Sus scrofa: one gene and its partners. The protein of the gene in region 6 interacts with the protein of the main gene of each other region in a pairwise test. Links are inferred from orthologs where the notes say so. Each region holds a gene or a part of one and is shown on either strand. Other genes may lie near its edges.

Evidence for each region.
Region 1: the proteins of CEP70 (region 6) and LAMTOR5 interact in binary tests that used the Homo sapiens proteins (3 or more experiments, as listed by UniProt). The two-hybrid records come from large-scale screens. The link is inferred for Sus scrofa from reciprocal best matches to the Homo sapiens genes CEP70 and LAMTOR5.
Region 2: the proteins of CEP70 (region 6) and KANSL1 interact in binary tests that used the Homo sapiens proteins (3 or more experiments, as listed by UniProt). The two-hybrid records come from large-scale screens. The link is inferred for Sus scrofa from reciprocal best matches to the Homo sapiens genes CEP70 and KANSL1.
Region 3: the proteins of CEP70 (region 6) and AKAP17A interact in binary tests that used the Homo sapiens proteins (3 or more experiments, as listed by UniProt). The two-hybrid records come from large-scale screens. The link is inferred for Sus scrofa from reciprocal best matches to the Homo sapiens genes CEP70 and AKAP17A.
Region 4: the proteins of CEP70 (region 6) and TEAD4 interact in a two-hybrid assay, tested with the Homo sapiens proteins (2 studies listed by BioGRID). The two-hybrid records come from large-scale screens. The link is inferred for Sus scrofa from reciprocal best matches to the Homo sapiens genes CEP70 and TEAD4.
Region 5: the proteins of CEP70 (region 6) and RHPN1 interact in binary tests that used the Homo sapiens proteins (3 or more experiments, as listed by UniProt). The two-hybrid records come from large-scale screens. The link is inferred for Sus scrofa from reciprocal best matches to the Homo sapiens genes CEP70 and RHPN1.
Region 7: the proteins of CEP70 (region 6) and zinc finger protein 227 interact in binary tests that used the Homo sapiens proteins (3 or more experiments, as listed by UniProt). The two-hybrid records come from large-scale screens. The link is inferred for Sus scrofa from reciprocal best matches to the Homo sapiens genes CEP70 and ZNF227.

The regions. Positions count from the first base shown.
Region 1 is NC_010446.5:109,721,341-109,725,463, forward strand, and holds the start of LAMTOR5 (ragulator complex protein LAMTOR5), read left to right. Parts: upstream 1-1,323; 5' UTR 1,324-1,454; coding exon 1,455-1,660; intron 1,661-2,533; coding exon 2,534-2,595; intron 2,596-4,123. UniProt on the Homo sapiens protein: As part of the Ragulator complex it is involved in amino acid sensing and activation of mTORC1, a signaling complex promoting cell growth in response to growth factors, energy levels, and amino acids.
Region 2 is NC_010454.4:17,090,112-17,093,611, reverse strand, and holds part of KANSL1 (KAT8 regulatory NSL complex subunit 1), read right to left. Parts: intron 869-3,500; coding exon 747-868; intron 167-746; coding exon 109-166; intron 1-108. UniProt on the Homo sapiens protein: Non-catalytic component of the NSL histone acetyltransferase complex, a multiprotein complex that mediates histone H4 acetylation at 'Lys-5'- and 'Lys-8' (H4K5ac and H4K8ac) at transcription start sites and promotes transcription initiation.
Region 3 is NW_018084901.1:894,902-899,096, reverse strand, and holds the start of AKAP17A (A-kinase anchor protein 17A), read right to left. Parts: upstream 2,801-4,195; 5' UTR 2,645-2,800; intron 1,341-2,644; 5' UTR 1,325-1,340; coding exon 563-1,324; intron 1-562. UniProt on the Homo sapiens protein: Splice factor regulating alternative splice site selection for certain mRNA precursors. Mediates regulation of pre-mRNA splicing in a PKA-dependent manner.
Region 4 is NC_010447.5:67,164,780-67,168,975, forward strand, and holds the start of TEAD4 (transcriptional enhancer factor TEF-3), read right to left. Parts: upstream 2,801-4,196; 5' UTR 2,776-2,800; coding exon 2,550-2,775; intron 1-2,549. UniProt on the Homo sapiens protein: Transcription factor which plays a key role in the Hippo signaling pathway, a pathway involved in organ size control and tumor suppression by restricting proliferation and promoting apoptosis.
Region 5 is NC_010446.5:1,130,231-1,134,337, forward strand, and holds the start of RHPN1 (rhophilin-1), read right to left. Parts: upstream 2,801-4,107; 5' UTR 2,627-2,800; coding exon 2,546-2,626; intron 357-2,545; coding exon 241-356; intron 1-240. UniProt on the Homo sapiens protein: Has no enzymatic activity. May serve as a target for Rho, and interact with some cytoskeletal component upon Rho binding or relay a Rho signal to other molecules.
Region 6 is NC_010455.5:79,384,141-79,388,371, reverse strand, and holds the start of CEP70 (centrosomal protein of 70 kDa), read left to right. Parts: upstream 1-1,431; 5' UTR 1,432-1,588; intron 1,589-3,477; 5' UTR 3,478-3,571; coding exon 3,572-3,580; intron 3,581-4,231.
Region 7 is NC_010448.4:50,822,356-50,825,855, reverse strand, and holds part of zinc finger protein 227, read right to left. Parts: intron 2,717-3,500; 5' UTR 2,715-2,716; coding exon 2,655-2,714; intron 450-2,654; exon of another isoform or gene 409-449; coding exon 282-408; intron 1-281. UniProt on the Homo sapiens protein: May be involved in transcriptional regulation.

The DNA of each region.
Region 1 (4,123 bases), on a different chromosome or scaffold from region 6:
ATAAAAGCTGGAGGAGAGAGGGCTGGAGAAAAGGGAGGTCGAGGTGTGCTGCCAGGAGGATTACAGGGAGCGGGTAGAGGCTTATGGGGGGATGGGTGAGCCTCTGGGCACACTCCCATTCTCATCAAAATGCTACCAATCTGAGTGTAAACTGGAACCACCTTTCTGGGGGGTAACTTGTAAGTGTATATTAAAAGACTTTAAAACCTTGACCCAATAATTCCATTCTTGTAACTTACTATAAGAAAAAATTTAAACTGCACAAATATTTGGCCATAAGAATATTCATCCAGCATTTGTCACAGCCAAAACCCAAACATAACAACGACAACAACAAAACTATAAGCAACCTAACTGTACATTAATAAGGGGTTGGTTAAGCTATAATATGTAATATTTTCTAAGTATTACAAATGCCGTAAATGAACTTTATGTCAGAAAGACATTTTTGCTAAATTTTGTGAAAAAGATAAGCTACAGAATTGTTTGTACAATATGTGTGTCAACTTAGCTTTAAAAAAGAAAAAACAATAACACAAAGTATACATTTGCAAAGACAACCAACCGGCGGAAAGAATATTCTCCAAGGCCTTATCAGTCATCTCCGGACAAAGACAATGGGTGGGCTTTCTTTCCTTATTTTTACAACTGCTTTTTTTTTTAATTTTTGTCTTTATGTCTTTTCTAGGGCCGCTCCTGCGGCATATGGAGGTTCCCAGGCTAGGGGTCGAATCGGAGCTGTAGTAGCCCGCCTACGCCAGAGCCACCACAGCAACGTGGGATCGAGCCGGGTCTGCGACCTACACCACAGCTCACCGCAACGCCGGATCTTTAACCCACTAAGCAAGCCAGGGATCGAACATACAACCTCATGGTTCCTAGTCGGATTCGTTAGCCACTGAGCCACGACCAGAACTCCCTATAACTGCTTTTGTAATTAACTTTTTTTAAAGGTTACTTTTTAAGTGGTCCTACCCAGTCTTTATTACAATGACACCTTCTTTCTCAAACGTTCCCGAATCCTCTCCAAAGAGGAAGAACCAACGTCTTCGAAAAATCGCAACACTTGCCCCCCTACCCAGCTTGGGGTTTTAATTTTGTTCCGCCTCATCCTCTAGTCCCTTGTCCTTCCTCTCTTTGTCCCTCCAAGCCTGGGGAACCCTTCATCGGAATCCTGTGTCTCTCTTGTCTGTCCCTGCCCTACCACCTGGATGGGACCCCGCGGGGCCGGCCGGATTATTGTAAAACTTCAACCAGACCTGGCCCGACTTCTCGGAGTCGGTGGAATCGAAATCCAAAGGTCTGTACGGCGGAGACAAAGGGACAGGCCAGGAAGCTGGCTCCAAGGGAAGACTACAGACCTCCCTCCCGGGGGTACATCCCGCGCGGTCCCCTCGCGGGTCGCACCCCAGGCAGCAGAACCCCGCCCAGCTCGCGGCGGCAGAGGGCGCGTAATGACATCATCCCGGAGAAAACGCCGAGACTGCGCCACGAAGTTTGTCCCTTTGGAGGCGCCGTCCAGGTCCGCGTCCTGCTCGCATCATGTGACTGACCAAGCGGAGCCGGAGACCAGTTTCCTAGGAGAAGACCCACCGTGGGTGGTGCGCCCGGCGGACGGCGGCGGGATGGAAGCAACCTTGGAGCAGCACTTGGAGGACACGTAAGTAATGTGGCCACGTCGGCCTGTCCTGGGTTCGCGGCGGGCCTGTCCTTGAGCGCAACAGAAGGCGCGAGCTGTGACTGCCCGCTGGGCTTCTTGGGGACGTTCTCTCCCCGGGCCGCCGATGGGAGTGGAGGGTAACCCGGAATTAAATCCCGCCGGTGCTCCGCACACTCCCTCCGGAACAAGTGTCCCGGGTCCGAGCCCAAATCCCGCCTGTCGTGTAGAAATTGTTTGGGCGGGGCCGTTCTTTAGGAGTTTTAGGAACCGAGTTCATTTGGGGGAAGGAGGTACCTACCACCTGTATCTTCAGTGTAAACGTAAACACACACGCGTACCTCCTTCTGGTGTAACCAGTTATTTGGTGCTCAAGAAGATGAAAGACATCCTTTAAATTTTTCGAACAGATAGTGTCTACGTAAAATCCAAAATTAGAAAAGTTTAAGACGGCGTACAGGGAGACACCTCCCTTGCATCAGGGCCGCTCAGCTTCCCACTTCCTCTCCATGGGGCAACCAGTTTTAGTTAGCTTTTCAGCAGTTCTTTCAAGTGAGAGAGTAGGCTAAAATACATATTTTTAACGAGGGCAACAAAATCCTAGCTATTGCAACGTTTGTAGCCCTCCAAAGCTTAGCAGTACCTGGCAGTCTTTTCTCTCATCAGAGAGAAATTAGTTTAACCATCATTAAAGTTAGCTTATTATGATTTAATGTAATTTTTCTTGGAGTAGGGATGAGGGATAAAGAAAAAAGACTAACACTGATTTAAAGCACTTAACAGCAGTGCTGGGTACATAGAAAGCCTGTGTGTGTTATATTTAAATCCATTTTTCCTACATCATTTGCTTCTTTCTTCCTGTGTCCCTGGAATTAGAATGAAGAATCCATCCATTGTTGGAGTCCTGTGCACAGATTCACAAGGACTCAATCTGGGATGTAAGTATCTGACAACAGCCCTTCCAGGGATTGCACAGCACTTGATGTTGACTGGGAGCCTAGGGTGCTTTCTCTAGTTTGCATTTCCTGCCACCCTGCCACTTTTGGGGGACTTTTCTGTAAATAGAGATCATCTCCCAATAGCAAAATTAGAAAACTGAATGTTTTCAGTTGATACTTATAAAGGTGGAGATGTCCCTTGCAGTTCTAGCACTACATAGTTGTTTCTTCTAGAATAGTATTTGAATCATTCTAAACAGAGTCTAGAAAGGACTTCAGATAATGACAGCAGTTACCATTTATTGAATGTATTTTGGGACTGCTAAATTTCCCCAGTAACCCTGCCAGATGGATGGTGTTATTTTTTAGTTCAACTTCACTGAACAGTAAGTAGGCAGTAAAAATGAGGGGTGCAAGCTCAGACACACCTAGGTTCAACCCCCAGCCCTCCCCTGTACTACTAGTGTGAACCTGGACCAAAAAGAACCTTTCCGAATTTCAGTTTCTGTAGTGGGTTGTTGTTTGATAATAATTATTATTATGGAATTGCACTTACTGAGCTCTATGTGCCAGGCACCATTATAAGCACTTTCCACATATCAAGTCATTTAATCCTTGTAACAATCCTATGAGGTAGATAAAGAAATTGAGGCACAGAGGTTGAGTAACTGGACCAGGGTCATACAACTAGTAAGTGATTGAGCTAGGATTTGAGTCTGGCCCCAAAGCCTCTACATCACAATAATATAGGATCATATAAAATATGTAAAACACTCAGCACAGAACCCAGACATGATGCTCAACAGATAGTAACAAATTGCAGATGAGGAAAGAAATCCAGAAAGGTAAACAATGGGAGGCTTCAGCTAATTAATGTCAGAACTAGTAAACCCAGGACACCCTGCTCACTACTCTTCTGTTCTGCAAGATTTTTTTAAAGCTCTGAATTTTTGCAGGGAGGGTAATTGAAAGAATTAGTCTGTGTAACTCAGGTTTTATACACAAATCAGTTAGTTGGAAGAAAAGGGAGATTTTTTTTTTTTTTTTTTTGAGGTGCTTGCCAGGTTTACAGATGGAAAGGTTGAGATTCAAGTATGGAAATCTAAAACTAAATTAATTTCTTTAAGAAACTTTCAAGGTCCCACAGATGAACCTACCTACAAAACAGAAACAGACTCACAGACATAAAGAACAGACTTGTGGTTGCCAAGGGGGAGGAGGGAGGGAGTGGGATGGACTGGGAGTTTGGGGTTAGTAGATGCAAACTATTACATGTAGAATGGAGAAACCATGAGGTCCTACTGTATACCCCAGGGAACTATATCCAATCTCTTAGGATAGACCATGATGGAAGATAATATAAGAAAAGAAATGTGTGTGTGTGCGGTCACTTTGCTGTACAGCAGAAATTGGCATGACATTGTAAATCAATTACTGTTTAATAAAAATATATATAAATTTATTTTTTTATTGCTCAAATGAATTTATCACATCTGTAGTTGTATAATGATCATAACAATCCAATTTC
Region 2 (3,500 bases), on a different chromosome or scaffold from region 6:
AGGCTCTTCCTGGTCACAGCAGGAATACAGTGAGCTTGCACTTGATGCCACAGGTCCTGAGGCATCTGCAGTGTGTGCTCCTCCCAGAGGGAAGGACCACACCCTTACCTCCTCGTTCTCCTCATCAGGACTCCCCTTCAGAGACCGAAGATCGACCTCCCGCCAGCTGCAAAAACCAGAAAGGGACAACCGTGAGGTGGCAGGCAGTTTGGGGCAGGATACATTTGTGTAAGAGTGAGAGCCCTCCGCCTGCAAGTGACACCCCTCTATGCTGGGCCTTCTCAGCCCTGGAGGCCTCTACAAGAGGCTCCACACTCAAATGCCCACGAACAGGGGCAGCAGGCCGAGGGTGAGATGAGAGCTGGGAAGCTGAGGGGTCCAGCTGATGCTCCCATAGGGGAATGCACATACAGGGCTGCCCAATCTTTGAATCTGACAACAAAAGCTGGAAATAAAGACTCATATGTGAAACCTTGCTTTGATGCTGACGACAAATTCCGTATTTTAAAAGACACTTGTATATGTCAAACAAAACATGACCATAGCCAGTTTGTGGCCTGAGGTCTGGCTGGTGCTCATATAATGGGAGAGAATTATCTACAGAAATAATTTCACTCTAATCAGGTGGACCTTCTCTCAAGGAGAAGACAGAAGCCAAGGTGAGGGCCCCAAGCTCAGCGACAAGAAGAGAGGAAGAGGTACTAAGAGGAAGACCAGGGGAAGAGCTGATCATCCAGGACCCCTACCTGGGAGTCAGGATCTCCTTGTACTGCAGCTTCTCTACACGGGTCGTTGCAGCCACAGACATTGGGATGACGATGTTGTTAATATCGAATGAGCTCTCGCCCCTTCTCCTCCTCACTGGCTGCTGTGAAGACAAAGGTTACGTTTAAAAGGGAGGAACAGTTCCACAAACATCAAATCATACGTGTGAGATTCCAAACAGGATCGCAATAACCCCAGTAGGGACGACCACGGCAGAATCCCTAGGAGATGATCCCCCACAGCAAAGTGCTCAGGAAAAATACCAGGTGGTCCTGAGGAGCAGCTCCTGCCCCAGTCTTACTGGCCACCCTCCTCCTCCAGGCAGCTGCTCCATTTCTGCTCCTCCACACACGCCTTTTTACTCCCTCCCCGACTAAATCCTTTCTGTTCCCCCTTCATTCCTGTCCATGATGTAGACCCATGATGGCCCCTAAAAGCAATGCTGAAGCCTCGTGGTGACTCTTGAGGTTAAAAAGAATTCCCTTATCCTGAAAGACGCCCAAAGGACAGGCCCAGCTCAATGGATCATCTAACCTTGGTTGTCATGAAAGCACCTCCTTCTCGTGGGTCTGAACTCTTCAGCTGAATCTGTACCCAGCCCTTATTACGTGATTTCCTCTTCCTGGCTATTATTCTTGGGGAAAGAGCTGGGAGCTTTCTAACTATATCAATGGAGATGAGTGGAGGGAATGGATGAAGAGGACCGGGCTATACAGCTCACACTCCTAGAGAAAGGAGATTCGTCCCTGTAGGAAGTTAAGATCAAACTCAGGAAAGAAGACTAACGAAGATCCAGCCAGTATCAGAGGAGGAGGTGGGCATCTGCAGCAGCTGGGAGATCAGGAGGAATAAAGCAAGGAGCCGAAGGGCATGGTTTCTTAGATGGAGGGACAAGTCCATGAGCGGCCTTGTGCCTTGATAGCAAACACCCTGCCCTACAATAGGGACTGACAATTGAGCTGAGAGGGGCCAGAGGGAAATAGTGGGGATGACAAACATGCTGCCATGGCAACAGTACAGCTGTGAACACCTAAGAGGCTGTATTCAAACCCAAACCACCAACAGGGATCAGCCCAGAGGCAAGGGGTTAGTGAGGGAAGATGAGAAAGAGGCTGTTCCCCACAACTAAGCTGTCTACTCCCTGTTCCTGGAGGGGCATCCATGACTGGTCCATCCTATCACTGCAGGGCCTTCTCAGAGAATGCTGAAAGGCAGGCTTTCCTGAGCCAGGATTTTAGTTGCTGTCACCTATGATTTCAGGTTAAAACAATGTCTTTTCCACCTCAGTTTCTTCCTCTATCAGCAAGAACAGACTGATGCTGACTGCACAAATTTAAGGTAACTGGTTAACCAAAACGGCTGATGTCTTGCCTGGCTGAGTTCTGCAGCTGAAGCTCAGTGACCTCATACCCCAAGGCCTTTGCCACTGCCTCATCTCTGCTGAACACATGCGTCCCACTATAGGAAGTGTACCTTAAGGAAGCCTCAAGAGACACTTTCCCTATATTTTGGTCGAGAATGAATGTGAAACTGCTGGCAGAAACAGCTATGTATTTTCCCTGAATCTTCTTGGGCCTGCTCTTAGTACCTTCAAGGCAAAGAGACAGGTGTGGGTTGTGAGGTTCAACAGGCTCCAGCCTCCACCCCACACTTAGATGCCCCAGTTCCACCAGGTACTCATTTGGTCTAACGTAACTAACTACTTTCTCCTGTTTAGAGCCACAGGTGGAAGGCAGGTGATGAGAATGCAAAGTGGTGCCCAAACCTAGCTACACATCAGAAGCAAGAGGAAGAATAAATTAAAACAACAACAACAAAACACACACAAAAAACCTTCCAGGGTCCCCTCCTTTCTAACTATCAAATCAGAATATTCAGGGCTTCCAAATAAGGGGCAGGGGGGTGGCAGCGGCACACAGAGGTGATTCGGATGCATCCATCAGCTTTTGTGGCTTTTGCTGAAGCACTACCACATATGCCCCCATCCCTCCCTTCCCCTGCCATTTCTCCAGTGTCTTGTAGCTTCTCTTATTAACTATCTGGTCTGTCCCTCTTCTTGCTATTAAATAAATCCAGATTCTTTTGAAGAAATTTGTCAGTAAGAGCCTTAAGGGTCAGCATAGTGCTATATACAAAATTTGTATGCATTAAATAAGTAAAAATTTTAAACGATCCAGGCCTAAGTTTACATTTGCCAGACACATGAGTGCTGGCAGGTTAAAAAAAAAAGTGAAGTCTCACCAAGTCCTAGAAATTAGAGAATATCTTCTATCAGGATAAGCGCCCCCCCTTTTTTGGGTGGGAGGAGGGGAGCTGTGTCTGCAGCATGAGGACACTCAGGACCAGAGATCGAACCTGAACCACAGCAGTGACAACGCCAGATCCCTAACCTGCCGAGCCTCTATAATAAGTCTCTTTAAAATCCTTTCATTTTCCAAGACTCCCTGCCAATGGACAACTGAATGTGTGACAGATTCTACACATCTATTGAGATAAAACCTATAGTGTGCGAGGTGAAAGGGGGGAGAAACGAGATCATTTAAGAGTCAGAACAATATGCAATAGGAGCTTAGTGAGCACCAGCATAAGTCACCTCTGCAGTGCCCCAACCCAGGCTCTCACTGTGTAGCACGATGGTCAGGTACAAGAGCTGGCTCTGCAGTCAGACTGCCTGGGTCGGAGTCACAACTGTAACCCTCACAACTTGCCTTGCCTCAGGCAATTCACTTAACCTT
Region 3 (4,195 bases), on a different chromosome or scaffold from region 6:
GCAAAGCCAGCACGAGTCAGTCCCCACTTGGCTGATGGTCAGAGAAGCCAGGGTCTCGTTTCAAGGGACGTCTGGGAGGGAGGCAGGCCGTGCAGCCGGCCCGGCCGGGGCTCCTTTCCGAGCATGCGCAGCGGTCACCCCCTCGCCCCCGTGGAACAATCAGCTCCCCAACTCTCTCGAAACACAGAATCGTTTTCTTTTCTTTTCAGGCCACACCATCGGCACGTGGAAGTTCCCAGCGAGGGGAGGCATCAGAGCCGCAACTGCAGGTCTACACCACAGCGACACCGGATCTGAGCTGAACCTGCGACCCACACCGCAGCTCGTGGCAATGTCGGATCCTTAACCCACGGAGCGTGGCCAGGGATCGAACCCAAAGCCCCCCGGTGCTAGTCAGGTCCTTAACCCGCTGAGCCACAACGGGAACTCCGAGGCACGGGTTTTATAAAAGAAAGCCGGGGGCCGCTTTTCAATGTCGGTGCCCGAGGCTCCACGGCCCGGGCGGCCGCAGGGCTCCAACACCGCCCCCCCGCCCCCCGCCGCGCGGGCCCGGGCGGCTCACCTTGATGTTGCAGGCCACGGCCTTGCCGTCCTCGCCCTTGTACATGAGCTTCATGCCGCGCAGGGCGCTCATGGCCTGGATGAAGCCCACGTACTCGCGGTACTGCACGTAGGCCTCGAAGTTCAGGTGGCCCCCGAAGCTGAAGGTGTGGAAGTTGCGGCCCGTCATCTCCTCGCGGTAGGGGTCCAGCATGGGGATGTCCACGTTGCGGATCTCCCCGAAGCGCTCGAACACCCTGACCAGCACCTCCTCGCTGGGCTTCTCGGAGCCCGACTCCTTCAGCGCGAACCACTTGCAGGGCAGCCCCTCCAGGTGGATGGTGTCGGGCCGCTCCCCGGGCAGCGTCTCGTTCATGTCCTTGGCGTCTCGGAAGAAGGAGTCCCAGTCGTGGCGGGTGGGGAAGTCGATCTTGAACTCGGCCGCGCGCACCTTGAGGATGTCGGAGAAGCCGCTGAGCTTGATGGTCTTGCCGTCCAGGCAGGCCAGGAAGGCCTTGACCAGGCTCTTGTTCTCCACCTCGCCCTCGAAGCGGATGAAGTCCATGGTGCTCTTGGAGATGCGCAGCGTGGAGAACTGGTGGTTGTGCACCATGCCCTTCAGCCGCTCCATCACCTCCCAGTTGGAGATGGACTTGCCCGGCTGCTTCAGCTGCGGCAGCGCCACGCTGATGGTCATCTTGGTGATGGGCTTCAGGTACAGGCCGTAGGTTGGGCACAGCTCCACCGCCTCAGACGTGTCGTGGACGATGGTGGCCGCGGCCATAGCCGGGACCTTGGGCCTGAAACACACACACACACACACATGCGCGCGCGGTCAGAGCTGGGCACCGGGACGAGGGTCCCCAGGCTGGCCGGTGAGGCCGCAGGCCCTGAGATGTTGGTGCTTTCAATCAAAGGGCTGCGCAGCGGGGTCCCCGCCCTCGGTGTATGGGGGGCAGGCCAACTCCACCCACCACTTCCACCGCTGGGGAAGGGACGGCCCAGAACAGGCATCTGGGAGGCTGTGCGGCGGGGGGTGGCCTTGTGTTTCCACTGAAGAAGAAACAGGAAGGAAGTTTCAGACTAGAGAAAAACAGCCGACAGCCATCGACTTCAGTCTCCCCACTGTGGGCAGACGCGCCCTCGCTGTGCCCGGCCGGGGGTGGGAGTCGCCTGCACCCTCCCCCCCTCACACCTTCCTCCCCAGGCTCTGCCCAACTGGTCTGACCAGTGGCTCCTTCCAGAAAGCCAGGCACCAGTGGCGAGCCTGACCCACGGGAACCAAACAGCACAGGTGGTCACCTGGCATCCGCCCGCCCACCAGTTAGCTCTCAGAGGCCCCCTGGGAGGGGAGGGGAGGGGAAGAGCAGCTGGAGGAAGAGCCACCTGGGGCCGGCCGGGGCACTGCGAAGGGCTGGAACCTGAGACGAGCGTCCCCTGCCTCACAAGACCCCAAGGGCTACAGGGAGGGCCGGACAGGGGGCAACCCCCGCTGCCTCCTGGGAACGCTGCTCACTGGCTGCCCCTGGGCCCTGAGCATGACCCCCAGCCCCTCGCTGCCCCCCTGTACGGTTCTCATTACCTCCACCCCCAGCCCCCGCGACCCTCTCCCCCGCTGCCTCCTGTCACCACGGCACCCACCCCCGACAGCCCCATTAACCTCGGTGCCCCCAGCGTCCGCACGTCGCCCCCCCTCTGACGCGGCCCCCAGTCCCTGAGTACCCGTGGTTTCCCGAGAACGCCCATCGCCCCCCGCCGCCTCTGGCTCCTCTCCCAGCCTCGGTGTCCTCGCCCGCGAGCCTCCCGCAGACCTTGGCCCTCGGTCCCCCGTCCCCCCGGCAGCCCGTCCCCGGCTCCTCAGACCCGGGCCCTCAATAATCCAGCCCCGGGTCGCCCGCAGACTCCGGCCCTCGGTACTCCGGCCCCCGGGTCGCCGTCATGAGGCTCCCCACCCCCGACCCCCGGGTCCCCTGGCCCCGGGCGCCCTCCCCGAGACCCCCAGCGGACTCCGGCCCTCGAGACACCGGCCTCCGGCCCCGCCCCCGAGACCCTCGCCCCCGCCCGGCCCGGCTCGCGGGAGGGGGCGGCTGCGGGCGGCGCTCACCGGCGCGGGGCTCCGCCTGCGTCCCAGGCCGCCGCCGCCCTGGCCCCAGCTCTCCGCGGGTCCCCGAGGACCCCGGCAGGCACGGCCTCCCCGCGCGGCGCCTTCCCCGTCCGCCGGAGGCGCCCCCGACGCGACCCGCTGCCGCCGCCGCCCGCCCCTGTGACGCATTTCCGCTTCCGGCGCCCGAGCCCGCGGATGCGGCCGCGCGGCGGCTTCGGGTTTCTCCTCCCGGCCCTGTCCCCGCCCACAGAGGCGGGACTTCCGGGGCCGCGGTGAGCGGGCCTCGCCGACCCCGGGCTTTGCACTGCGCGTGCGCAAGCCCGCCCTGCCCCCACCTCGCTGCCTGAGTTCTGGTCCCGCGAAGGTCTCCCTGGGGTCGGAAGGCGAAGCGGTCCGGCTTAGGGCCGAGGCCGGGTGTTTGGGCCTCAATTGTTAATACAATTATGCATCCCACATCATATGCCAATATAATTTAATTATAAGCTAGGTACGCACTTATTTACTTATTATAGGTATTGAGTTGTATAACACCGTTACACGTGTAATTGCATTCAGTATATACTATTCACGTGAATGTATAGTAGTTTTGCATTTTACATTTTTTACAGTTTAATATTTACTTTTTCGTAATGCTTATCTTAATATTTGGAAATAAGACTAGGTATTATGTTATTTTTATACATTCCGTAATACATTTTATATGTTTATTATTTTAAAGTAAATGTTAAATGGTGTTGAAAATTTACGTGTAAACATATAATATTTTTTTATCTTTTTTCCGCGGCACCCATGGCAAAAGGAAGTTCCCCAGGCCAGAGTTTGAATCCACACCACAGCTGCAGCAATGCTGGATCCTTAACCCACTGCACCACAGCAGGAACTCCTATCAGTATATTTTATGTGTTATATGGAACGTGTTTGGTAGATACTGAGTTTTTATATAAACTACATTTTGTATACAGTTTATGCATAATACTATTTGTTTATGTAATTTATACTTGTACATTAATGAACAGCAACTTATTAAGCTCCCACTTGATGGCAGGCACTGTACAACCAAGGCATGTGATTCTGATGCTTCAAATATGTCCCAAGTCCCAAACCGAGCATCTAAGGTGGGGGAACAGGAGCGCAGACCCTCTGTTTTTCTGTAAAGAAGTGCCAAAGGCTTCCGAAGGCATGAGGGTGGGTGAGGGGTCCCTAGGTCAGGGGGGCTTCTAAAAACAGGCTCCTGGGTATTGGCTGGGTGTCTGGTACGTGCAGGTCACACCGTCCCACTAAATGCTGTTCATGAAATAAATGCGATGATGCCCTCTTCCCAGCAAGGAGGAAACAGAGGCTCTCCAGGGCCCCCCACATTGTGGGAGGGGGGTCACTCTGAACCCAGGCTTCTCCTTGGGGTATGCATCTTTGCTTTCTTCTTTTGCCTTCTCTTCCTGAGAAGGCAGCGGTGTTTGCTGTTCTTTTGAAAGCCGTTCTCTCAAAGGCTGCGCACCGGTGGATGCAGCTCTGATTTCCGCTGTTAAATGGGGAACCTGCTTGCCCACTGCA
Region 4 (4,196 bases), on a different chromosome or scaffold from region 6:
AAAAGGAAGGACATCCTGACACCTGAAATGACACGGAGGAACCCTGAGGACATGATGTCAGGTGAAAAAGCCAGCACAAAAGGACAAATACTGTGTGATTCCATGTATATGAGGGCCCTGGAGGAGCTCTAGCCAAAGCGGTAGACTGGATGGCGGGTACCAGGGACTGCGGGAGAGGGACCTAGGGGCCAGTGCTGAGCGGGGACAGAGTTTCAGTTGGAGGGAATGAGAAAGTTCTAGAGACGGGCAGTGGGGATGGCTGCTCAACCACAATGTGAACGTACTTAATGCCACTGAGCTGTACACTTAAGAATGGGTAACAAAGAAACAGTGGGTCCCACTGTGGCACGCGAGGACTGTCTGCTGGCTCTCCAGACCTGCCACCACCGGGGCCTCCCCAACAGGCAGCACCCTCAGCGTTCTCCCCACACCGAGCGCCTCGAACACAATTGTATTTGCCAGGCCATGTGTCCTTTTAAAGCAGGAAGATCAATCCTGCTAGGCGCCTGGGCACTGACCACTGCCCCATCAAGGGACCCTGATTTCTCCAGCCACACCCCCGCCACGACGTCACCGTCACACCTCAGCTCATGACCAACACGCACCCCACTCTCCATCAAGCCGTGGAAGAGCCCAGGCCACCCAGCTCCACGGGAAGAGCCTACCTAAAGCAGGTCCCACCCCTGGCACCCACAGCTGCTCTGCGCACAGCGGCTGCCTCTTCCGTGAAGCTTCCATGGGGACCCAAAGTAAGAAGCAACCACTGGAGCAGGACGTGGTTAGAGCAAGGTGCCAGGGGAGCCCAAACCAGGGCGTGGAGACCCGCAGAAGTGGGGGCCCCGCAGAGCCTCAGCGGAGGGGCTGGTAAAGTCGGATGAGCAGCTGTAACAGGTAACCGAGGAGCAGAGCTGGGGTCTAGCTCGAAAGGACCTTGCTTCCTCCAGCAGGAGAAGGAATCCCTGCCCTTGCAGGGCAGGTGCAGATTAAAGACAAGCAGGTGGGGCTGGCTCCCTAGACCAGTCACAAAGCAGATTTGAGTTTAGTTAATTGAACAGAGTGGAACAGCGCCCGCCGCCCCCAACATTCACATCCATCCAGAACCTCAGAATGTAATCGTATCTGGAAATGATCTTTTTTTTTTTGGCCTTGCCCATGGCATCTGGAAGTTCCTGGGCCAGGGATCAAAGCCACACTACAGCAGTGACCCAAGCTGCTTCAGTGACAACACTGGATCCTTAACCACTAGGCCAGCAGGGAACTCCAGGAAACAGGGTCTTTACAGAATTAACTAGCTAAGATGAGGGCACACTGGATTAAGGGGGGCCTTATATCCAACGACTGGTATCTTAGAAGAGGAGGACACACAAAGACAGACAGACAGGACGGCCATGTGACAACAGAGTCTGAGACCAAAGTGCTACAGCTACAAGCCAAGGACACCAAGGGCCTCCAGCTGCCCCCAGAAGCTGGGAGGGGGCACAGATCAGATCCTCCGGCAGAGCTTCCAAGGGGAGCCAACCCCCAGCACCCTGAGTTCAGACCTTCAACCTTCTGACTCGGGAGAGGATACATGTCTGTCATCTTAAGGCAGCCCTGAAATTCGAGGTGGTTTTTTACAGCAGCCCTAGGAGCTGAGATCAGTCAGCTGATGAGGCATCTGTGCTGGGGGAGGGGCACCCACGTGGGGGTGGGCACTGGCCCAGAGCCATCTCATGGGAAGCAGGGCAAGACCCTCTGTGGACAGGGGCTTCAGCCAGTCAGAGATCCCCACAGCTCCTACCCAGTCCCAGTGTTTCAGGCTGGGGGTCCCAGGGAACTTTCCAATGGCAATGGAAGCCTGAACGGAGCCTCTAAAAGTTGTTCCGTGTTCATTTTGCTTCCCAGATACCCTCTCTTCCATCCCAAAGTCAACACAGCCCAGGCAGACGGCTCGTTCCTTCCCAGGGTCTGCGGGACAAAGTGCCTCTGTGTCCTGCATTGACAATGACGCAGAGGGCGTGTGGAGCCCCAGACCACGCCTTCCCTGATGGCTCTCAGCTAAGGGGCACACTCCTGCAGGGGGGTGGTCCTCACCCCCCCCCAACCCCGGGACACTCTCAACGCCTTGTGTACAGTTACCTGTATGCCCACCCCCACGTACCATGAGAAGGGACTAGATCTGCCCCGCCCCTGCCTGGCACACCAAAGGCCCAGGTATGAATGAGGGAGTGAACCAGGACCGCCTTCCTAAAGGCCTTCACAGCCACAGTGGGAAGCTGGGAGATCAGGCATCTGCCTGGGGGGTGGCTAAAGGGATTTTCCCAGCCTGCCCCGGGGGGATGTTCTAGGCTTTCCCAAGTTCCATCCTCACAGCCACCCAAAGGTGTCTCCCCTGATGCCTCCCAGCCCTTGGGAGCCTAGGACAGAGTAAAGCAGCGTCTGCCAGGACAAGCCCCAAGAGGTCACCTCTTTCCATCACTTGGAGGGAACCGGGTTGCTGTGCCCAGGCTGTTCCTGGGGCTGGACCATGAGCTGGCGGGCCTGCTGCCCAACACTGACAGCCTCCTTACCGTACATCTTGCCCTCATCCGATAGGATGATCTTGCGCCGACCGCAGGGCGGGTAGATGGCCAGGGCCTCCTGGAAGCTCTGCTCGATGTCGGGGCTCCACACGCCCTCTGCGTCATTGTCAATGGGCTTGTCCAAAGCCTGGCTGCCCCCAGAGACGTTGCTCCCCTCGGGGGAGTTGGGAGAGCTCCACTCGTTGGAGGTAATGGTGCCGGCCTTGCCCTCCAAGGCTCCGCTTGGAGGAGCGCCCGTTGGACCTGGGTGGGCAGAAAGCACAGCATTGGTGGATGAACGTGTGGACAAGGGGGTGGGGGAACCCAGGGAGCACCACCCCTGAACCAGGTGCTTCTCCTTTCCTGGTGCTCATGGCCCAGGAGCTCAAGGGGAAAGCCAGGGAATCCCATGGGGCAAAGAGTGAGGTGGGCGGGGCAGGGCGGGGTGGGGAGGGGCTGGTCAAGGGCAGGTCATCTCCCCTCCACAGACCTCAGCTCCCCACCCCATCAAAGGAGCTCAGCAACCAGGCACTGTCTGATTGTGGCTCTAGGAACCCAGATGGGGCTGAGAAGTTAGATGAGGGCCAAGTACCATGGATGTTCTACATTAGACCAAAAAGGGCCAAGAGCATACAAAATACTGTGCTCTGTTGGTGGGAATGTAAAATGGTGTGACCGCTAGGAAAACAGCATGGAGGGCCAACCAAAAAATCAAAGAGAATGACCATAGCACCTAACAATTCCACTTCTGAGTATATACCCAAAAGAACTGGAAGTAGGGTCTCAAAGACACTCATGTTCAAAGCAACATTATTCACCACAGCCAAGGGACAGAAGAACCCAAGTGTCCATGGACAAATGAATGGCTAAATAAAATGTGGTCTCTACGTATAGTGGAGTGTTATTCAGCCTTAAAAATGAAAAAAAAATCTTTTTGTTTGTTTTTTAGGGCCACCCTGCAGCATATGGAAGTTCCCAGGCTAGGGACTGAATCAGAGCTACAGCTGCAGGCCTACACCACAGATACAGCAATGCCAGATCCTAGCCATGTCTGTGACCTATACTGTAGCTTGTGGCAACATCAGATCCTTAACCTGCTGAAAGAAGCCAGGGATCGAACCCACATCCTCATCGACACTAGTTGGACTCTTAACCCACTGAGCCACAACAGGAACTCCATGAATATGCTTTATTTTGTCTTTTGTCTGGCCTCACCCATGGCATATGGAGGTTCCCAGCCTAGGTCAAATCGGAGCTGTTGCTGCCAGCCTACGCCACAGCCACAGCCACGCCGGATCCTTAACCCACTGAGCGAGGCCAGGGATCGAACCTGCAACCTCATGGTTCCTAGTCGGATTCATTTCCACTGTGCCATGACGGGAACTCTGAATATGCTCTTAACATTACTGAACTGCACACTTAAAAATGGTTCGTGGTGCAGTGGTTAACGAATCCGACTAGGAACCATGAGGTTGCGGGTTCGGTCCCTGCCCTTGCTCAGTGGGTTAACGATCTGGCGTTGCTGTGAGCTGTGGTGTAGGTTGCAGACGCAGCTCGGATCCCTCGTTTATGTGGCCCTGGCATAGGCCAGTGGCTACAGCTCTGATTCGACCCCTAGCCTGGGAACCTCCATATGCCGCGAGAGCGGCCCAAAGA
Region 5 (4,107 bases), on a different chromosome or scaffold from region 6:
CCAGTGAGGCCCCCCAAGGTGGGAGCTGGCTGCCCCAGCCCCTAGTGGGAGAGCCAGCCCTGCCTCCTGGGAAGCCACAGTCACGGACTCACATGTGGACCGAGAACAGGCAGCCACCGGGGTCACTGCCCTGCCTCCTTTACGCAGGGTGGGCCTGGCTCGCAGGGGCCTCTGGGAACGCGGCACCGCTCTCCTGTGGGGCAGGGGTGGCAGCTGGTACCCCAGGCAGCCAGCACGCACCTGTACAGGTTCTCGGCCCCTGTCCGCATCCGTAGCTCTTTGTTGATCTGCTGGTGGATCCGGGCCCTGCGGCTCTGCAGGGGGTCCCGCTGCATCTGCGCCAGCTGATCACAGCCCTGCAGAGAGGCCGCAGTCATGGGGGCCGGGCCTGGAAGGACGGGGCCCCAGGAAGAAGTTGGGCACATCTGCTGGGGCTCTGGGACTCAGCAGCCCAGCCTGGAGCCCCCACCAGGAGACAGCCGACCGCCCGCCCAGCACACGTCCTCCAGCACTTGCGAATTCCTGGCGTGACCCCCACGACCCATCTCGCCCTCGCAGTTACTCCAGGCCACACGTGTTTAGGTGGGGGGGTGACAGCCAAGGTGCTCACGAAGAGCGATCTTTCAGAGGAAGCGTGCCCTGTGGTCACACACACACACACACACACGGCCGTTTCAGACCCCGTGGGGACTCCAGCCTGTCCCGGCCCCACGCGGGGGGCACTCTAAACAAGGCTCCTGGTGCACGGCCACCTTGGACAACAGCCCAACATCTCCAGACACCAGCATTCTCCGGAGAGGTCAGTCAAGGAGGACTTCCTACAGGAGGAGGCATTCTTCTGGGACTTGAAAGACAGAAGGCTTCCAAGCGGTCCTAGGTGTTGAGGAGAGAACCTGCACCCCACTGACCAACGGGATAGAGAGCAATCAGCCAGGAGGACTCCCCCTCTGGAGCCCCGGGCAGGCCCTCATCTGGAGGTGGACGAGGGCTGGTGTCCCGATGGCACCAAGAAGGGACAAGACAACACAGCCTCCCCCTCCCCGCTCCGCCCTGCTGGCTGGCTGTCTTCCCACAGGCCCTTCTCTGTGGTGCCTCCTGTGCCCACTCCGGGCTCAGGAGGGATGAGCCCAGGGTGTGAGCAGTCACCCCCTGCCAGGAGGCCTGAGACTCAGAGGCAGGGGCAGGCCCCGCCGAAGCCACACCCCTCTCCCTCCCAAGGTCCCACTGCAGAGCTCCAGCAGGTTCTCAGGGCTGTGGAGGACAGCATGGCCATCCGCCTGGGGAGCAGGGCCGCACTCGACACAGTTCATTTGGTCTCCTGTGTCAAGGACTCCTGGAGAGAAGTGTTGGAGGCCGGAGACCGCGGGGTCTCCAGGGAGCTCTGCGGCCAGCACCCCTCAAAGCCTTGCCACCCTAACTCTCCCTGCTGGCAGCAGGCTGGTTGTGTAACCTGGGCGGGCTGAGAGCCACTCTCACAAGTGGTAAAGGGATCTGCCAGCTCGCCCACTTATGGCAGAACCCCCACCTCTGATAAGGCAGCGACCCCAACACACCCTCACTGCTGTGGCCCCGACGGGTGAGGGTCTAGTGGATCCCCCAGAATCCCCAGGAGAAAAATGCCATGGGCAGTGGCCAGAGCTGGCAAAGTGTGGGGATAGCTATGCCAGCACGGGTCTAGGAACAAACCTGCAGGACGGTGGGCAGGGCCAGGCCGCATGCCCCCACCAGGCAGGTGGCATGGGACTGAAACCCCTCGTGGATATGGATGCCCAAAGCCTGGAATAAGCACTGGGGCAGCCTCACGGTGACCCCCAGGGGAGAACCGGGCTCCGGGCTGCAGAGTGAGACAGCCAGGGTGCCTCCTCTTTCCCGAACACAGACTCCAAAGGTCTCCAACCCCCCCAACCCCCCCAGCGATCAGACTTCAGAAGGAGGCAGAGGTGCGGGTGAGGAGAGACAAACACCCAGATGGGAAGTCCTCCAGCCACTTCCTATACCCAGGAAGCTTCAGCCGCCTGTCTCTAGGCCTTTCATCAAGAGATGAGTGCCCCGGGGCAAAGTTGAATGGCCCTAGGGAAGAGAGCAAAGCTAGGAAACGAGTGCCAGGCACGAGGAGCAAACATGAGGGCCACGGGCTGCAACGGACCCAAGCCCAATCGCTGCCACAGAAGCGGTTCCTGGAGCATTGGAGAAAACCACAAGCTGGGCTGGCGCTCCCACCGGTTTCTGGTAAGCGCAGGGCGGAGGTGGGGGTGTGTGTCCCCAAACAGGAGGGAGAGAGAGGAGCACAGGCAGCCAGCCAGCCAACCCGGCTCTGGCTCCGCATGGAGCCCTGGGTTCCCCAGCAGTAAGACCACCTTGCCTCTAGGGGCGAGTGAGATTCTCGGGGACCGGGTGGGTCCGCCCCCGCCCCCGACACTAGCGGTGCGCTCAGACGGGAAAAGCCAGCGTGGGCTCCACAGCCCCGCCGGTGGCAGACAGCCACAGGAGCCGGCTGGGTCTGGGACCCCTCCTCCCGGCGCCCCCTGCCCCCGGGCGCGCCCACCTTGCGGGAGCTGCCAGCCGCCTGCAGCTGAGTGCTCTCCTCGCCAGCGGCCTGGCCATCTGGCCTCTCCTCGGGGACCATCGCCGCCCGCTGCTCGGGCCACGCCCACCTGGAAGCCGATCCCGGCGCAGGGACCCCCGGCGCGCGGGATCCCGCACTGTACTCTTCTCCCGGTGGCCGCCAGGCCGGGTGGAGAGGCGGGGCGCTAGCCGCCGGGCGTGCGAAACTTGTCCAATCGGCGGCGGCAGCGACTCTGACAGACGGAAGCTTCGGCCAACCAGAGCCCGAGGGAGGTGGCTTCGCGGCCAGACCCCGCCCGCCTGCGCCCGAGGAGCCCGGAGGCGGGGGGTGGAGGGGGATGCGGTCGCCCCTGGCAACCGCCGGCGGCGGAAAAGGGAAAAACAAGGCGCGGCGCAGGGCCCTGGGCAACGCGGGTTTCACCCGCCCAGCGGCGGGGCCTCGGGGCGCCGCTCGTAAAGATTCGCCAAGGGGTGGTTAACAGTTTTGCTGGAACAAGCGCCCGTGCAGGTCTCGATGTCCGCTTTTCTCTCTGCGTCGGGACCCAGGCTTCGGCCTGGCCACAGTGCTAACAGCGGTCGGCGCTCCATTGCCATGCCTCTAGATCCTGCTTCCAGAACCTGCCCCTGGAACCCGCCTCTGGAGCCCACCCTTCAGAACGTCCAAAACCCACCCCAAGAACCTGCTGCAGAACTCGCCAGTACAATCTGCTTCCCGAATCATCTTACTTTCACAGCCCGCTTCTAGAACTGACTTGCCTCCGGGACCAGCCTGCCTGCAGAGCTGGCCTGCTTCCAGAATTGGACTCTTTCCGTGCCCTGCTCTCCTGGTGGGTTTGCCCCAGCGTCCGGGTCCTTTCCTGACTTCTCCAGGTATGATGACTCTGGAACACGCTCGTTTCATGCCCGGCTCACCTCAGGGAAGAACACACCCCTTGTAGGGGCAGGAACACCAGAGCATAAGCAGTAACGCGGCTAATCTTTATCACGTTGCCCTAAAGTTCCAGCCTTGCCATCTTCGCCATCACCTGGGTTCCTGCCACGCCTCCGTTCTTCCCCACAGGCTCTTGCTTGATCCTGCAAATCCTGTGAGCTGAGCTGCTTGGGCCGCCCTGGCCATCTGCAACAATAACTACGAAATAAGGGAATCGTTAACTCCCGGGAAAATAAAAAATAACCAGAGACGTATTTGACCTGACTCAGCGGTGTACCACTGTCCTGTGGCATCTTGACCCTGGACAGCTTTTACGAGTTTCTGTGGGGAGGGGAGAGGTGAAAGGTGAAGAAGTGGGTGAGAGAAGCGCCTCGTCCTCCTGAGGCTAAATCAATAGATAAGGCCTGAATTAGAAGCAGAATTCCAGAGGCAGACGCTTGTGGGTGGAATTGCGGAATTTGCAATGGTGGAATTCAACACCGCATTGGCAGCTCAGCGACTTAGGGGAGGTCGCCTCGGGGAGGGCAGCGGGGCTCTGGAGGAGGCTCCTCTTTGGCCGAGTGGTTCCTGTAGAGCTAAGGTTGGTGCGACGCTGCATCTTCTATAACCAG
Region 6 (4,231 bases):
TACGGGTTGTCAACAGCGACACCGTGTGGCTATAAGATGCAATGACAATGGCCGCCAGACCTTCGCCTTAGGTATGTGGCAGCTGGATTTTCCCCTGAGAATTTTTGGGTCACTTAACCAGCTATGAATTTTTGAAAATTTTGGGCAGGGGCCCTATTTGTAGATGATGAATTTATTAAAGTGATAAATAGAGGATTTAGTTGATTTCTTTTTGTGGGAAAAAAGATCAGTGATCATATTTGTGCACTGTGGAGACTTTTTTTTTTAAACCCAGTTTTGTAAATAGTTTTTACTGGTTTACTATATAACACATATATAGTTTTTACATATATATAAAACAAATTATGCATGAAAGCTGTGTTTGAAGATACCCAAATTAAACCCTTTCCATTTTATATTCCATTTGAAAATTGATCTATGTTTCCCCATCATCTCCAAGATAAAGTCCCAGCTCTTCAGCACATTTGCTAAGACCTTCCTCTTATTCTCCAATATGCAACACACTCCTTAGCTTCCTTAAGAAGCCCATTATATTTGCCAATGTTTTGGGAGCTAGGCTTTTGGGGAGGGCAGATATGACCTGTACCAAGGAGCTCAGGTTTAATTACAGAAAAAAAAAAAAGTGAGATTTACTGAGCACTTGTGAGCTAGGCATTGTAATAAAGTGGTTTGGAGTTATTAATTTGCACATGAGGTTTCTCCAAATACCTTCTCCTATCTGTATTACTGGGGAAATAATTCCAAATCATTCTTATGCATATTTCTAGGTTTGTAGTTTTCTGCCTTGGAAATCACCTATTGAAGCTGGGGTTCCGCCCTGCAGATTCTGATTTAATTTGTTTTGGGCTTGAGCATCATTTTCGAAGCTCCTCAGGTGATTCTAATATACAGCTGGGGTGAAGACTTTAGCGACGGATGTAAATAATCTTTCTTTCCCTTCCGTGCCCTGCATACCTTTCCTGATCATGTCTTATCACATTGCACCTTCTTTTCAGGGTGTATATCTAGCTCCCTAACTAGCCTCTGAATATCCCCAGTCAGCCACTTTTGCATTTCTGGAACGCGATTTATGGCCTGACATTTGGCGGAAATTTGGCAAATGCTGAATGGGAAGGTAAAATGTCCTCAAGACATACTTATTTCCGTGTGTGTGTGTGTGTGTGTGTGTGTGTGTGTGTGTGTGTGTGTACGCACGCGCTCGCGCGCCGACCGCCTCAAATGTGGATTTCTGAAGTTTTCCTGGCAAATGAGGACCCAGGTAAGCGAACAGCAGTTGCGAGGAGAAGGGGTCCAGCAGCTGTGGAGCACAGACGGCAAAGCCGCAACAGCAAACTATCGCTCACTTTAATGGTAAGCCCCGCCCCCAGCAGCAGAGCCAACCAGAGGGCACGGAGCAATCCCAGCCTTCCTGGGCGGTCTGAGAAAGTCGCTAGGGCTTTCAGAGCCGGAGCAGAATCGGGCTCGTCGATGAGCTCGGGCTCGATTGGCTGGCCTCCCACGGTGGAGTAACGGTCGTAGAGGCGGGGCGGGAGGCGGCTGAGCCGGCCGGGCTGGGCGAGCTGCTGTAGAGAGGCGGCAGCTGAGGAAGGTAAGCGGCCTTCGGGGTTCACAGAGGCTTTGCCTGGAGCCCCTGCTTGAGCTTCCACCGGAAATGGTCTCGTCTGCGCAATGCGAGTGGTCATACTGACCCTTACTGGGGTCCCCAGAGAGGAGCTGCCTGGGACGGGTTGGCGCCAGTTAAAAATCCCTGGATAAGGAGTTTGGGGGCGGGTGGGGGGAACCTGATCGACCTGGTCCTAGTCCTGGCTCCTCGCCCCTTGTGATCTTTGGCTCCTCATTTAACATCTCAGCGCATCAGTTTCTTCAGTTGTAGACGACAGCTGGTAAATCTTTCCTTACAAGGTGGTTGAGAAGGTTAATTGAGGTAGTGAGTGTGAAGCTTGGACGGATACCTGGCGCAGCCTGGATTCTGGATAGTTGTTGGTAGTTACTCCGTCCCCATGCGCTGGCCGGGGGGTCTCGCCCCACGTTTCAGAATCTAGGTGCCTGGGAAGGTAACTTGGCGAGTGAAGGCTCGTAGCAGAAGGTGGGGGATACACAAAGGGGTAGGTGAGTAATCCCTTCTCTGGTTTAAGTAATCTTTGCAGAGTTGGAGAGTCTCTTTATGTGGAATCTAATATGATTTTATTAAGAAAATCAGTGAGATGGAAATGTTGAAATGTAGAAGGGTTTCTGTACCACTTTATTTTCTATACATAATAATGGTAAAGACTGTGCGGGCATTACCTCTTTTGGCCTCAATCTTCTTCTGCATGAGGTTTTGTTTTGTTTTTACTTTTGGTATTGTCAAGTAGACCCGGGCCTTCCCCACCTCACCTTGGGAAAAAGGTGGCTGGCTGGCTAGGGTTTTGCCCGCAGCTTCTGCTTAGTGGCCTATTCTAACCTTTTATGTAACCTCTCCTGGGGCAGGATGATTTAATCGAGGTAAGATCCGATCCTAATTCTGTTTCCTTAGATTCGCTTCTTAGGAACGTTAAACAGTGTATTGGTATATTTTTGGGATGGCGCTTTTGCATTTAACAGACAATAGAGACTTTGAAAGCATTGCACATTCCATTTATTGCAGTAAAGTGAAATATGTGCTTTTGAGAAAGCTAATTACAGGTTTTGAGGTGACTCAAAAAAGAACAGCTACCAGCCATGCTTTATTCCCAGCTTGTCCCCAAAAAAGTAGTGAAAAGCAACTACATTTTAATGTATGGGGCATGAGCCAGGGGCTCCAAACCTATAAGGGGTAAGTTACCAAAGGGCTCTTGGGAAACCTAGACAGTGCAAACAGAACTATGTTTGGCTTCTCTGTGCTTGGTTTTCTGTGGTGTGTATGAACCAACTCCTACCCCGCAACTCCTTTTCCCACAGTTTTACTTTAGGTATCTTATGACACTGCTTAAAGCAAGCCACACCATCTGCTTTGGTCCTGGGAAGCACTGGGTCTCTTCTGGTGACTCACAGACCTGTGTCCTGGCATAGCCCGTAGTGGGGAAAATGCTGCTGCAAACTATCTGTAACATTAATTTCACAGCATAGACCTCTGAAAAGAAGGGCTTTGTCACAGGTGAAATTGATAGTTGTTCTCCTTGTCTTTGTGTTTCAGTACCAGTTGTCTGAGAGTACCCTTGCCAATGAGAATATTGTTTGAATACCTTTGAAGTCAGAATCAGATTTGATGCTAGATGATAATAGAGTTGGGCTCTCAGGTATATGTTTCAACAAAACAAAGAAAGACAAGGGGAGAGAAGGCAAGGGTGAAGGCACGTGGTGGTGAGCACTGGAGTCCATTAGCAGTTGATTCAGTAGATGCAGCTCCCTGTAGTCAGTCATTAACACCAAGAATACCTGCTCTGAGGATAACACAAATCATTCTTAATAGGAGATGAATGTTTAAGATGTGGGCCTGTTTATCTTTTTGAAACCTAGATGAAGATGCAGTTTCAGACGTGAGGCTCACTGGGTGATCATTTCATTCTGATCAACTTGAATGACCAGGTGAAAAGTGTAAGAGGAACGTGCTATGACTGAGGTATGTCTGACGCAATAAATAACTCCCTCTGGATGTTGAGAGGCTGTGGAAAGGATCTACTAATTATGGAATACTATGTATTTATTTCCTTTTGACCTCTTCATAATCCTATCAGATATTTTAAACCCAATCAAGGAAACTGAAGAGGTTAAGTAACTATTTAAGATAGTACAAGTAGCTGGTCACCAACTCTGATCACCACCTGTCTTGCTGTGTGCCAGGCACTGTTCCTTTTGCTTTTATTGTTATTTAACAAAATGTTTTTATTAAAAAATGACTTTTTATTATGAAATCAAACAGAAAAGAACACATATACCAAATGTATAGCTTAATGAATTATTAAAATCTGATACCACCCAGGGTAGGGTGGAGAACTATGCTAGCTAGCCATGCCAAGAATTTGCTTATCCCAATCACAACTGCTTTTGTCCTCTCATTAGTAGCTATTTTTCTGACTTTTATACTAGTCGCCTCCTTGTGTTAGTTTTTTCATAAATCCATATTCTTTGACACTATAATGTAGTCTTGCTCACTAAAATTTTTAAAAAATCTCTTGTAGATTGTTTCCCTATTCCTTTCTTTTCCTTATAATTTATCTAATGAAGAACTTGGTCATTTGACCTATATGTCCTATAGTCTGGATTTTGCAGA
Region 7 (3,500 bases), on a different chromosome or scaffold from region 6:
TCACCAGCCACTAGCTGCCAGGAGCACCCCTCCCCAGCTGTGACCATCCAAAGTGTCTCCAGACATTGCCAAATGTCCCCAAGGAGGCAAAATCACCCCTGGAGAGAATTCTGCCTTAGCAGGGAGGGACAAGAAAAACCTGCGGATTAGAAAAACTTGCAGCTCCAAGGGTCAGGGAACCATTTGAAAAGATTCAAAGCTTTCAACAACAGAGCACCAGGGACTCTTGGGGGTGGGGGGGGACGGGGTTGAGGTTCAGGTCAGAGGGCACCCGTCCTCACCTACTGAGAGCAGGTTCCGGAAGTTCTCCAGCATTACGTCCCGGTACAGCTTCCTCTGGGTGGAGTCCAGCAGCCCCAGCTCCTCCTCGGTGAAGGTCACGGCCACGTCCTTGAAGGTCACTGCCTCCTACAACACCACACACAGTAACCTAAATCTGACAACCTCCACTGGAAGAAGGGCAGCATCGAGAAGGATAAAAATTACCCCAAAATCGGTTATCAATTTGGAGAGACTCCCAGGAGTTTTCAGTCCCAACCATTGTCCCTCTCAGTGACAGTGACGTTGCCTCCCTGCCTCCCCACTGCGTCACTGTTTATTGTTTGCTAAGTTTACAGGCTTTCAGCATTGCTACAGGACAGGCACATAGCTCCTCCTCTGCACTTTTAAGGCAGAGCCTTGTCCACCCACTGCCGCATGCGCGTGGAGACGGTGAAGGCACAGGCCGAGTTCAAATTTCAAGGTTTTAATTACAGGCCCTTGGCCAGATTCCTTCACCTCTCATTATCTCAATCTCCTCTTCTGTATAATGGTGTCACAAAAGAGCGCAAAAGGATTAGATGAGTGAATGTCTGTAAACCACTCACAAGGGCTCCTGGCTCATGACAAGTGCTCGGGAATGGGAACAAGTAGTGTCATCAGAATCTCTTTCACTCCAACTGTGACTACCCTAGTACAGTATTCCCTAGGATTGATGTTTAGTGTTAATCAATCCAAATAAAGCACAATTAGCTACAGATTTTCGCTTATAATCAAAGCTGCAAAGATCCTTTTACAGAGAGCTTAGCCAAGTTACAGCAATTGCAAAGTCATAAAGCATGCACTGTAAAATTTCTGAAAGGCAGATTGCCCTCTCAAAAGGTTTTTCCAGTTCACCTTTCATGTGAGAGGGTACAGATGTTCTTGAATCTCTAGACTGGCCAAATAGGACACAATTCCTAATCTCTGGAGTTCTCTGGTGTCACAGCAGGTTAAGGATCTGGCATCATCACTGCTGTGGCTATGGTTTGATCCCTGGCCCAGAAACTTCTGCATGCCACAGGCACAGACAAAAAAAAAGAAACAAACAAACAAAAAAACTTCAGGGTGGGAGAGACAGATTGGGGGTTTGGGACTGGCATATTCACACTGAGGTATATGGAATGTTTGGCCAACAGGGACCTGTTGTATAGCACAGAGAACTCTACCCAAAATTCTGTGATAACCTATGTGAGAAAAGAATCTGAAATAGAATGGGTATGTGTATATATACCACTGAATCACTTTGTTTTACAGTAGAAATTATCACAATGTTGTAAATCAACTATACTTCAATAAAACTTAAAAAGGCAAACAAAAAATTCTTCAACAATCTAAGCAGAATAAACAGAAAGCTTTTATTCATATTTGCACACATTTAGTTTTAGGGTTTTTTAAAGTTTTTTTTTGGCTGTGCCCACGGCATGTGGAAGTTCCTGGACACACAGTAGTGACTTGAGCCACAGCAGTGACAATCCCAGAACCTTAACCTACTGTGCCACCAGGCAACTCTCCACATTTAGTTATTGATGATCATTATTGACTTCGTAAACTTACTTCCCTTTTTTTGTGACATTCCTATTCATTTTTTTTTTGGCCATGCCTGAGCATTTTTTTTCCCCCAGGCCAGGGATAGAACCTGTGTCACTGCAGGAACCCAAGCCATAGCAGCAACAATGCTGGATCTTAACCTGCTGAGCTACCAGGAGTATCCTTTTTTTTTTTTTTGTCTTTTTAGGGCTGCACCCTCAGCAGGTAGAAGTTCCCAGGCTAGGGGTCGAATCAGAGCAACGTCAGCATGGCCACAGCAACACCAGATCCGAGCTGCATCTTTGATCTACACCACACCTTATGGCAACACTGGATCCTTAACCCACTGAGCAAGAACAGGGATCGAACCTGCATCCTCTTGAATACTAGTCGGGTTTGTTACTGCTGTGCCACCATGGGAACTCCTCTACAATTTTTTTAAAGATTGCTTTGTGAAATCACAAAGATGGTAAAACACTCACACACCAAGTCTGGTACACAACATGCACCCAAGATGTGTTGTGTTCCATTAACCTTTCCAACGAAGAGAAAAAAGATGTGCCTATTTGAGAAATAAAATCCCAACTTAGGGAACTTCCTCTTGTGGCTCAGCAGGTTATGAACCCGAACAGTATCCATGCGGATGTGGGTTTGCTCCCAGGCCTTGCTCAGTGGGTTAAGGATCTGCCATTACTTGGCTGTGACATAGGCTGGTAGCTACAGTTCTGATGTGGCCCCGGCCCGGGAACTTCCATATGCCGTAAGCACCCCTTCCCCCGCTTCCCCGCATAAAGCAATTAAGAGACAGAGAGTTATGCCTTACTTACCTGAAATTTGGTCATTTTCTCCCATTCCTTCTGGAGAAGGTCAGAGTCCTGAGAAGGCATAACTGGGGAGGGACAAGGAAGCCATGAGCTGCAGGCCAGGGCTGCCATGAGCCCATGTGGGTCTCTGCAGCCACATACAGCATGGAAAGCAGAGCTTGGCCTAGACTACAGCTGTCGACAGATACGTCAGCTTGGACAGTAAACAACCTGCACAACCAAACTCAGTATCCTTACAATAAAGGTTAAAGGGGGAGATGGGCTGGTCCTGGTTGAGGAAGAACTGAGAGAGGGAAAAGAGAATGGGGGGTGGGGAATGGGACAATCGTTGAGCTACAGAGGAAAAGTATGTAATGAAAGGGGATTTTAAGAGAATTGGTTGTATGAGATGAATGATACCCTGTGGTACTTTGCAAGAGAATTCAAGCCAAGTTTAAATTTCTTAGAATTAAAAAAAAAAAAAAGGAACTGAGAGGCAATGTAATGACATGTGGGTTTAAAAAAAAATGTGGGGTGTTCCCGCCGTGGCTCAGTGGTTAACGAATCCGACTAGGAACCATGAGGTTTCGGGTTCGATCCCTGGCCTCACTCAGTGGGTTAAGAATCCAGTGTTGCCGCGAGATGTGGTGTAGGTGGCAGATGAGGCTCAGATCTGGCATTGCTGTGGCTCTGGTGTAGGCTGGCGGCTATAGCTCCGATTCGACCCCTAGCCTGGGAAGCTCCATATGCCATGGGAGCGGGCCTAGAAAAGACAAGACAAAAAAAAAAAAAAAAAAAAAAAAAATGGGCTCTGGAGTCAAGTACCAAATCCTAGAAATGAAATTACCCATCCCTGTAACATCGAGGGTA